Linked DNA regions of Saccharomyces cerevisiae S288C. Changing the gene in region 2 together with the main gene of any one other region gives a genetic interaction. Each region holds a gene or a part of one and is shown on either strand. Other genes may lie near its edges.

Region 1 (3,761 bases), on a different chromosome or scaffold from region 2:
ATCAGATTGTTATTGTTCTGCATCACATTAGAATTCAAGTTCGGATTTGTGCTTATAGTCGCGATTGTGTTATTCAATATGGCACCAGTGCTAATATGTCTTGAATTTTTCAGTCGGCTTAATAATTTTTTGTTATTGTTTAGCAATGGGGCGCTTATCTTTGAGGTTATTCCATGATTTTGTTGCTGTTGCTGTTGTTTTGGAGGTTGCTGTTGCTGCTGCTGCTGCTGGCTGGAGGAGTCAGGAAATATTAGGTTTTTAGTCGAATTAGCTGCCGATTCATAAACAAATGTTTCCTCAGAATCACTAATTTCATTTTCACCTACAGCTGTAGCCAGCCTTGCAGCGAAAAAATCCGCCTTTGTTGGTTTTTCTGAATTACTCTCATGTGAGTCGTCATTTATTGCATTATTGTTAGAGGTAGAAGCGCTCAAGTCGGCGTTAGAATTCTTGATATCGGCATTGGTTTTATTGGATGCACTATTACTGTTATTGCCGTTGTTGTTGCTGCTGGTTTTCTTCTTGTTATTATTGTGATTGTCAGCATTACTGCTGGAGACACTAGCAGTGAGAGCCTGAGTATTGTCTGTACTGCCCAAAGGTGCGGTTGAAGGCGCTGTTTTAGTAGATGTAGTGCATATTTTGCTGGTGTCATCATTACGTTCATTTTTCCCACTATTAATGTTTTTATTCTTCTTCATTTTGTTGTTATTTTCATTATCATCTGCGTTCGAGTGATTCGGTATACGCAGCCCATCATTTGCTACTGGACCATTATCGTGTGTGGTTGAATTCGCGGGAGCATTCTTCGCCTTTGTATCATCTAACAGGTTTTCACCTAAAAGTATTTCTCTTGAATTAGTGACGTGCATTGTGGGCCTCTCTATTATTTTTGGCTTATTTTGTTGTGATAGTGAAGGTAGAGGTAAAAGAGGAGCTGGAGGTGTATTCGAGCCGATGTTATTACTAGTGCTGGGTGCCGTGTTATTGGAGAAGGCCGAAGCCTTTCTGAACGCTTTAGATGCGGAAGTTGATGATGGACCATGAATATTCGCCGATCTCGCTGTTTGATAAAGGGCAATGTTACTTGTAGGCATATTATTGGAGATGACGGCAGGTTTCTTCTTCGAGAGTTCAACATCTGAAGCAAACGCAGGGTTAGAAGCTACCAACAAAGAGCTCTTCTTGTTTCGTAATGAAGATGACGGATTGGAAAGATGAGATGACAGAGGGTTGTGGTTGATTAGGGCATTGTTACTATTATTATTAGTTGATGAAACAGAGCCGATATGTTCTAAATGTAAATCTGTTGGGATATCACTCGTTGACATTGATGTTCCTGCCCTGTTTATGTCTGAATGCCAATGATCTTGATTATGTGACGTGGCATCGGAATCCATTAAATTGTTATCTATGGTGGGCAAATTATGCTGTACAACGTTGCTGGTGGTGTTAGCAGTAGCGACAGAATCATCAACTATTTCCCTGTGTAGCGGAGAGGTAGATGTGGAGGCAGAGGGAATAGAAGGATTAGGTGCTACTACATTACTGTTATTCGACAATAAAAGATTATTTGCCACGGGTGCCTCAACTGTTTCTGTCTCTACAGTGAGCTTTCTATCTTCTTCTGTCATCTAGCACGTTTCCCAAATGCTTTAACTTGCCTGAGATGAAACGATAAGGTGTATACAGGGCGATTTACACTATAATTTATGGAATATTTTCCTGTATCTACTTGATTTTAGTTGTAGAATTGAAGATCATTATGCAAAATCGAAGGGGATACCCGTCGCAGAAACCACCCAACGAATTTTCTAAAGCGGAAATGCCTAAGAACAAAGAAATAAGAAGAACGAATCAATATATTGCACTACAATATATCACAAAGAGTGGCCAGGAAGACTTACAAGGTCTAAATTTAAGAGGGATTAACGTTTTTTCAAGTTATGTACATCTTTATGTAAACGTAAAATCTAATTTTGTGTCTGTCTGAGGACGGGAGGGGCAGTCTTGTGCGACGACAATTATCTGAAAAATCTGCACATTTGGACTGCAATGTGTATCTCGTGTCTAACAGTCCAACTTTGGTGCTGAATTAACTTCATGAATGACCTCTTAATGATTTAGCGAAGGGAAATTAGAGGACAAGATCTCGCCGCGTGTATAGATATATACATATATATTATCCAAGATTGGAATGAATTTCGCCGCCCCTGCTCACCGACATCGAGACCAGTACGGTGCCTTCGCTAACCAATGTTGGACATAAAGCTTAAACCAGGGCTGATGATTTGCAACCAAAACGGAACGTAAACCTTACACCACTTTTACAGTTTTTTGTTGTAGTTAGAACAAAAGTGAGTAAGTACTCACCGTTTCTGCCGCGCGGCGAACTTACTTACCCAAATATTAATGGAACTTCCGATCCAAACTTCAACTTGTCTTTCACCTCTACGTATCTAATCTTACAGTGAAGTTTCCTAGAAGACTACCATTTATATATGTGGTTGTTGTTACAGCTTTGGACTGTGTGTCTTCGTTCGTTTACATATAGTTTGCAATTGTCCTTCCAAAAAACTACTAACGTTATCCTTGTGACGTTGTTGCTATAGCGTAACGTGCGTCACTAGTCTTCGATTAGTATTCCGTGATAGTTTTGAGAAATGGGTGAATGTTGAGATAATTGTTGGGATTCCATTGTTGATAAAGGCTATAATATTAGGTATACAGAATATACTAGAAGTTCTCCTCGAGGATTTAGGAATCCATAAAAGGAAATCTGTAATTCTACACAATTCTATAAATATTATTATCATCGTTTTATATGTTAATATTCATTGATCCTATTACATTATCAATCCTTGCGTTTCAGCTTCCACTAATTTAGATGACTATTTCTCATCATTTGCGTCATCTTCTAACACCGTATATGATAATATACTAGTAACGTAAATACTAGTTAGTAGATGATAGTTGATTTTTATTCCAACATACCACCCATAATGTAATAGATCTAATGAATCCATTTGTTAGTTAATAGTTTAAATGTTTTTATCGGAAGAGGTTTTGTCATCACATCAGCAATGTTCTTCTTGGTCTCGATGTAGTATACGTATAAATTATTACCTGATACTTCATCTCTAAGTCTCATTGCCTTTGTGCCAAAAAATCTGTTTCTAAATTTCTCTTCATTTGTAGACTTAATTATACTGATCGTTGATCTACTATCAGTAAGTAAGCCTTTAATAATTGGTTTCTTGTTAAGTTCTTGCACAAGGTGACTGAGGTTATTCAATAGCGGAATAGCTTCACTGACTGCGTGTATTTCTGCTTCTGTAGTTGAAGTGCATGTTAACGAAGCCTTTGTCGACTTTCCTCCAATCACTTTTCCGTTGAGTAGGAAAATGTTACCAATTTGTGACTTGTAATATGGTTGGTTACCATATGAAGCATCGCTTATTGCGACTAGTTTATTATCTGGCTTGGTAGGTTTGTTTTTGTGCCATATCAGTTGTTTATCTCTAGTGTCCCACATGAATTGTATTAACTCATATGTCATGTCTAAAACTTGCCTAGAGGGGAATAGTATATGTTGAGCAAGTGTGTTGATGTAGTATAGTAAGTCAAATCTAAATTTATATCCAACATATGAAGCTAGACCAATCAACTTTTGCATTTCATGTACCTTCTCTTTGTATTCATCTTCATCTATTTCTAGTTCATCCTGGTCTATATAAAGACCTGGTTGACCTGGAGCGCTA
Region 2 (3,761 bases):
AGGAAAATTATGGTGCGCATATACATACAGTCGATATTGCTTTCATTTTTTTTTTTTTTTTTTTTCTATTTTTTTCATCAAAAAGGATTCAAAGGTTACCAACAAAATAAAAACAGAGTAAGGAAAAACAGATGTATCTATATGAATAGGATTTATAAATTCTGTTACAATTTATCATTCTCTCGTAATGATTTTTATGAATTTCACCATCTCCTCAATATGGGCCGCAAAGATGATCCAGTAAAAAACAATCCATCGGCAGAAGAGGAATAACAAATAAAGATAACAAAGTTTGACTACTCTTTCGTTGCAAAGTACGGTTCGACAATATTTATTATTCAATTTCTTCAATCTTGGAACCCTTCTTCGCATTTTCATTCTTGCCGTTTTCTTCGCCGTCGTTATCATCGTTATCATCAGCATCATTAGGTTCTGTTTCTCCTGCAGCCGCATTGCTTAAAGATGCCAACATATCTGATAAAGAAGCACCATGGAAATAAGAAGTGTTGCCGTCACTGTCGGAGCTGGGCCTCTGCCTTATTTGAATCCCGGCTTCTAATAGAGCCTCCAACGAAAACAAGTCAATAGGGCCAGTTCTATCCTCACCTGATAACTTTGAGGGAGTAGCACTGCTGCCTAATTCGGTATCAAGATCATCAATTTCCATGTCGTCATTATCTTTACTACGATTCAAGCGGTCTTGTAATTTTTTGGTGGTTATTGCGAACACTTCGTTATCATCATCCGAAAAATCATGGAAATCAAAAATACTTTTCCTTCTTTGGACAAAAGACGTTTGGATATTGTAATTTTTTGATCTCATACGCTCAAACCATTGTGACTCAGATTCATTTTCCTTTAGTAAAGCAACAATGGAAATACTCATATTATCACAGCCAATTCCTGAGCCTTCAGTTGTGGGTGAACAACAAACATCTACGATTCTAGATGAAATGTCGCTCAACGTCATATTACCTTGACTTATACCGTAGTGAACCAAGTCAACACACTCTTGAGAAGTTAAACAATCCCAAATACCATCACATGCTAAAATAACAAATTCATCCTCATCATAATTCAAATTGTGACAAATGATATCAGGAACACATGTAACGACTTGCTCATGAGGTCCCAATTTTGTGTTAGATTTGAATTCAAAATCACCTATGGCTCTTGATAACGCTAAATTTCCATTAACACGGTCCATCTCAACAAAACCATCAGCAGCTACAATACGAGATTTTTCACTTAACAATGTGGGCTTATGATCAAATGACATTGCTTTACTATTACCACCAGTAGATAGAACTGTTCTACTATCACCGGAATTGGCGCAAATTAGTAGCTTTTTCAATTGAGATACCAATATCACAGTTGCTGTACAACCACTATGGTCATCTTTTAATTTTTCATCTTTCAACAACTCAACATCTGTAGCTAAAAAGGTATCTATTAAGCACTGCTCTAACATACCGCTCTTGAAGCTCTCCTGTTTTTTCAGTATAGATATCATTTTAGAGCCACAAAACTCCGCTACAGAAGAACCACCATGACCGTCAAATATACCATAAAATGCGAGATGTTCCTCGTCAGACTCAGCCAAAAGGTTCGGCTCAACAATATGGGCATCTTCCATGGACATACGCCAGCCTTGCATGGCACATAGTCCAAACGCTGTCAAACAGTCCGTACCAGAATGATGCTCTTTGTCGATAATTGGATTGGACAATATTTGACCCATGTTATCTCTCTCTTTCTTCGATTTGTCTTCTTGGCCTTCTTCGTCTGCCTATAATAGAAACTTCAAAAAGTAAAATGAATATAGTCTAAAAACAGAAAGGGGCCTTCCGGTGGCAACAATCGAGCCAACAAGCTCTAAACACCTTTTACTCCTTTGAGTTTATTCTCTTGAGGGACAACCCATGTTGTTTTTTCTTCAACTCGCTGATATCACGCCTGACGAAAATAATGTTTAAAGGTTATTACTACTCTTCTAGAAGCTCTTAAGCATAAGAGCTAATTGTTTCTTGCTATATTACTTGTTGACAGCGGAGTAACATGATAACGTCTTTTTAATGGAAAAGATGACAGTTTCTTCGAATTACACCATAGCTTTATGGGCTACTTTCACCGCAATCTCCTTTGCCGTGGGTTACCAGTTGGGTACGTCGAACGCATCATCAACTAAGAAATCCTCAGCTACTTTACTGCGTTCTAAAGAAATGAAGGAAGGAAAGCTACACAATGACACTGATGAGGAGGAAAGTGAAAGCGAAGATGAGAGCGATGAGGACGAAGATATTGAGTCCACTTCATTGAATGATATACCTGGAGAAGTTAGGATGGCATTGGTGATTCGTCAAGATCTTGGCATGACAAAGGGCAAAATAGCGGCACAATGCTGTCACGCAGCATTGTCATGTTTTAGACATATTGCTACAAACCCCGCGCGTGCTTCATACAACCCAATTATGACACAAAGATGGCTAAATGCTGGACAGGCTAAAATAACGTTGAAATGTCCAGATAAGTTTACAATGGACGAGTTGTATGCGAAGGCTATATCACTTGGGGTGAATGCAGCAGTTATTCATGATGCTGGTAGAACACAGATTGCTGCGGGAAGTGCCACCGTATTGGGTTTAGGACCTGCTCCAAAAGCAGTATTGGATCAAATAACAGGTGATTTGAAATTGTATTGAGGTACAAATGATATATACTACGGGTATAGATATACGTGCATTTATATATTAAGTTGAAGTCTTTTCCCGTTTCTGTTTTTGTATATTTATGCTCATGCCCATCTTTGCACGACAACGGAGTTCAGCAGATCAGCGTCCTTCAATGTTGTCTCATCGTTGCTTATTGGTTTGATAGGAAAGGCATAATTCAAGGTGAAATTCCTCGATGGGTCAGTGTTCGCATTTGATGTCACATGCTCATACAAAAACTTTACTGTATCTGTGGAATTGCAGTGCAAAACTTCTCTTTTGCCATTTGCGTATCTAATTTGGATGGAGGTGTCGCCTTGTTTTGGCTCATTGTCCGGCATGGGTTGTTCCTGAGCAGCGGGTGTCTCATTCTTTGGAACCTCCGCAGGTGACGATTCACCCGGGATAGGAGATCCTAGTCTTTGGCCCTGGCCTGAAAAACCGCCCAGTTTTCTCGTCGGAGCTTTATAAGACTCATCTAATTTTTTATATACATTAACTTCAACTTCTTGTCCAAATTGCACATCTAAGAGCTTTAATGGAGCCCTCCCTTGATTTAACTCGCTCAAATAGAAACTGTTCGCAGGATCATCATAGCGATAAAGCGGACCATCGGCCACTTGAAAACCTTCCTTCCAAAATGTAATTTCTCTTGTGACTTTTTCTGGTCTACGTTGTGATTGTGAAGTGTTGTCTTCTACGACTTCATCTGCTGCGTCGATGGTTGACCCTAATCTAAAACCTCTTCCAGTAAACCTATTGGCACCCATTTCATGGTCTTCGTCATCACGGAATCCGTTTTCAGCGCCCATTTGACCACCCCTTCTCGCTTTTTCCAGCAAATCCTTCAGTAATGAATTAGGATCTGAAGGATCTGTAACCTCTAAGCCGGATGTTTCACCACCAGCAAAAGTATTTCTCGGTTGATCTTCATCGTCATCATCAGCTTGACCTCTTACCATATCCGAAAAGCTCATAAACCTGGAGTTGTTACCACTTCCAGAGCGGCTACTACCCTTGGTTGGTTCAGGAGAGGTAGAACCTTTCCTT
Region 3 (3,761 bases), on a different chromosome or scaffold from region 2:
TTCACTCAGCGAAAATTGCGAGACCGCTCGTGGAAGGTGACGATAATACGATACTTACAACTTTAATATTATAAATATAAGCATGTGGTGGAACAATATAGTCAGGCAAACTGCTAAAAGTCCCCACTTATAAACAGTGTGTAAAAAGTACGTTTGTTTTTGCTCCTTATCCTTTATTTGGCGTTTTGACAGTGAAGACAATGCCGCTACCGATGCGTTGGTTATATTAATTCCTCGATTAATTATACCATATTTTTGAATGTCCAGTGCAAATGAAGAATTTGTATTCGTAACTTCGTATGTCGGTAGGAAATACTGACCCAGGAACTCATTAATTGAATCGCTGCCTAACAGAGGCTCAACCTGCAGGTCTATCCCCTGCCAATTTTGAGAACTCTCATTAAGATATTTTTCAAACTGAGTGTTTGTGTCGTTAACCCAAAGATTTAGGATGTCCGTTGATTGCACTTTCAAATTGGGGTCAGTTTGAAGGCTTAAATTTGCTGTAATGAACTTTTCATTCACTTCCATTTGGAAATTTTCACACAATAATGATACGCTGTCATTAATGAAACCCTCTATCGTAGTTGTTATATTTCCATCTGTCCAAACTTCCCTTTTGTATAGCGAAGGTCCCGCTCTTTTGTGGAATGTAGGCAAACTGGGTACTTCAAAGTTTGTTAATCGCGTCACTATCTGCCAATGAATTAATAACATCAAAAAACCAAACAGCCACAGGTGAGCCCCATTTGAGATTATCCACCAGTTACAGTAAAATAGTTTTGATTTTTTGACTTTTTTGTCATCGATTTTTTCTGGTTCTCTTTTAAATATTTTTTGATTGATAAGCTTTGTTAATTGGTAGGGAATTGGATAAAGTGTACTGAGATTCAGAGTAGTAATTAAGCTTTTCAAAACTTTGTTGTATTTAGTAAAATTGGTTTGTCCTGTCAGGCCATTAATTTGGGACATAACCAGGTTTACTTGCTGATTTTCCAGCTGAAACAGAATTCTTTCGATTGCCATGAGCAAAATCACAAATGCAAAGTACATGACTGTGAAAATTATTGTCATTCTCTTACATTTACGGAAAACGTGATTTTTTACTGCACTTAGTACACTGTTTTCCTCGCTATTTGTTTTCAGAGACCGTTTAATTATTGAAGTAGACGATGTAACCTCGGTACTCCCCCCAGATAAAATGGAAATTTCATTCTGTAAGTTTGCAGTAAAGTTCCTTTTCAACTGAAGCCAGTCAGTGGAATTTCGTAGAAAATTCAAACTTAAGGTACTAGAGGTATCTAATTGAGTAGAAAAGTCAGTGATAGTGCCATTGAAGTTCTGCAATGATTTCAATTTCCTTGAGTAGTTCCCAAAAATACTGTCAAACATGGAGTAATTTAACAGTAGGTTTGATGCCATTTGTGAAATGGAATCCTTATCAATGGTCATTGCGTCTTCTGATATTTCATTCCATGTGTCATTTATCAGCTGTGATTTAGTGAGTAGTTCGTTAAAAATTGTATTGTTTACCTCAAGAACTTCCTTAATCAATTCAGTTTCCAAACTTATTTGGTCGTTGATAAGTTTTTGTTTATTATCCAGTATGTCGTCTGTGTATGACTTGAATTTTTCTTGCATATCCGTACCTACCGTAGATTCAATACTCCGTAGTTTGCTTTCGAAATACTGATCAATTGTATTATCAATGAATGTTTTATTTAAAGAGTAACTGTTGGCAGAATATATGGCATGCTGTGTTGTGACTGCTGTCATTGTGGCCGTTGTTGTGGCCGTTGTTGTGGCTGTCGCTGTAGCAGTTGAAATAGATGCAAAGGTTGAGACGGTATCATTTCGTTTGACCTGTGCGTGAGACATTTTTGCCATTGTAATGTCAATGACTGAAAAGGAACCCCAAATAGTTAAAATAACAGAAGTAAAGAATATCAGTAATAGAGGATGGAAAATACAACTAAAAAACCTCTGTGGAAGTGATAAAGGTTTAATTATGTGTACATTGTTCATCTTTGCCGTACTCTTAGTTTTATCGAAAAGTGGTGTAGATTTTCAGCTACTTAAGCCATGTTAGTGTTCTAGTTTTTTGCTTTACATGTTATATAAAGGGCCAAGATAGCATATGTAAATGTTTTATTACTGGGCTGAAACATTTTTAAAACATTTTTCAATAATGTGCTGTTATAACCGTACAAGGACGGTTATAATTCTGAATTAAAATGCTGCACCGAATGAAAATACCAATGTTCTTCCAAACCTATTGGCGAAAATTAAGATAAGCTGTCGCCTCTATAATCAAGAATAATCTCAACTATTATAAATATTATTCCCAGAAGTTGAAATTGTGACACATTTGAGTAATATCACCTTACACGGAACATAGTTGCCCCCTTCTCCGAAATTGCTGACAATGATAATCGGGGATTCAATGACAATGACAATGAAGGCAAAAGATTTTCATATTGTACTCTTGTTTTTTGAGTTATCACTTTCAAGTACCTTCTTGTTAACAGAAATAGAACCGCTATAGAGGTTATCGTGTATACGTATCTGTTGGTGTTTCTAAATCAAAAACTCGCTTTTAAAGCAGTCTTTCAATTGGAAGATTCAAAAGGATCTAAAAAGATCTAAAGTAGTAAAGAAAAAAGTATAAGCCCACACCTTTTTGGTAGGATAATGTTTACTGGTCAGGAGTATCATTCCGTAGACTCTAATTCCAACAAGCAAAAAGACAACAATAAACGTGGTATTGATGACACATCAAAGATCTTGAATAATAAGATACCGCACTCTGTTAGTGATACTTCTGCCGCCGCCACCACCACTTCTACTATGAACAATTCTGCTTTAAGTAGATCCTTAGATCCTACTGACATAAACTATAGCACAAATATGGCTGGTGTGGTTGACCAAATACATGATTATACTACTTCCAATAGAAATTCTTTAACCCCACAATATTCTATTGCAGCTGGAAACGTCAATTCGCATGATCGGGTTGTTAAACCCAGCGCCAATTCAAACTATCAGCAGGCTGCATACCTTCGACAACAGCAACAGCAGGATCAGCGACAACAGTCACCCTCTATGAAAACTGAAGAGGAATCCCAACTCTACGGTGATATTCTGATGAATTCTGGTGTCGTACAGGATATGCATCAGAATCTGGCCACTCATACAAATCTGAGCCAACTGTCGTCTACCCGTAAGTCCGCTCCGAATGATTCTACTACAGCCCCGACTAATGCGTCCAACATCGCCAATACGGCTTCTGTGAACAAGCAGATGTATTTCATGAACATGAATATGAATAACAACCCACATGCCTTGAACGATCCATCCATCCTGGAAACATTGTCGCCATTTTTTCAACCTTTTGGTGTTGATGTAGCACATTTACCTATGACGAATCCACCAATTTTCCAAAGTTCTTTGCCTGGATGCGATGAGCCAATTAGAAGAAGAAGAATATCAATCTCTAACGGTCAAATAAGCCAGCTAGGCGAAGATATTGAAACTTTGGAAAACCTGCACAACACACAGCCGCCCCCGATGCCCAATTTTCACAATTATAATGGTCTGAGCCAAACTAGGAATGTATCAAACAAGCCGGTCTTCAACCAAGCAGTGCCGGTTAGTAGTATTCCACAATACAATGCAAAAAAAGTTATTAATCCCACGAAGGACTCCGCATTGGGTGATCAGAGCGTTATTTACTCGAAAAGTCAGCAGCGAAATTTTGTAAA

Evidence for each region.
Region 1: mutations in PTC3 (region 2) and VAC7 together harm fitness more than expected from each alone (negative genetic interaction), as found in Saccharomyces cerevisiae (one large-scale study listed by BioGRID).
Region 3: mutations in PTC3 (region 2) and PRM2 together harm fitness more than expected from each alone (negative genetic interaction), as found in Saccharomyces cerevisiae (one large-scale study listed by BioGRID).

What each region holds. Positions count from the first base shown.
Region 1 is NC_001146.8:523,959-527,719, reverse strand, and holds the start of VAC7 (Vac7p), read right to left. Parts: upstream 1,635-3,761; coding exon 1-1,634. UniProt on the Saccharomyces cerevisiae protein: The PI(3,5)P2 regulatory complex regulates both the synthesis and turnover of phosphatidylinositol 3,5-bisphosphate (PtdIns(3,5)P2). Positively regulates FAB1 kinase activity.
Region 2 is NC_001134.8:111,742-115,502, reverse strand, and holds PTC3 (type 2C protein phosphatase PTC3), read right to left. Parts: upstream 1,742-3,761; coding exon 335-1,741; downstream 1-334. Other genes in the region: PTH2 (aminoacyl-tRNA hydrolase), read left to right, coding at 2,076-2,702; protein phosphatase regulator SHP1, read right to left, coding at 2,795-3,761.
Region 3 is NC_001141.2:282,975-286,735, forward strand, and holds PRM2 (pheromone-regulated protein PRM2), read right to left. Parts: upstream 2,026-3,761; coding exon 55-2,025; downstream 1-54. Other genes in the region: CST6 (Cst6p), read left to right, coding at 2,692-3,761.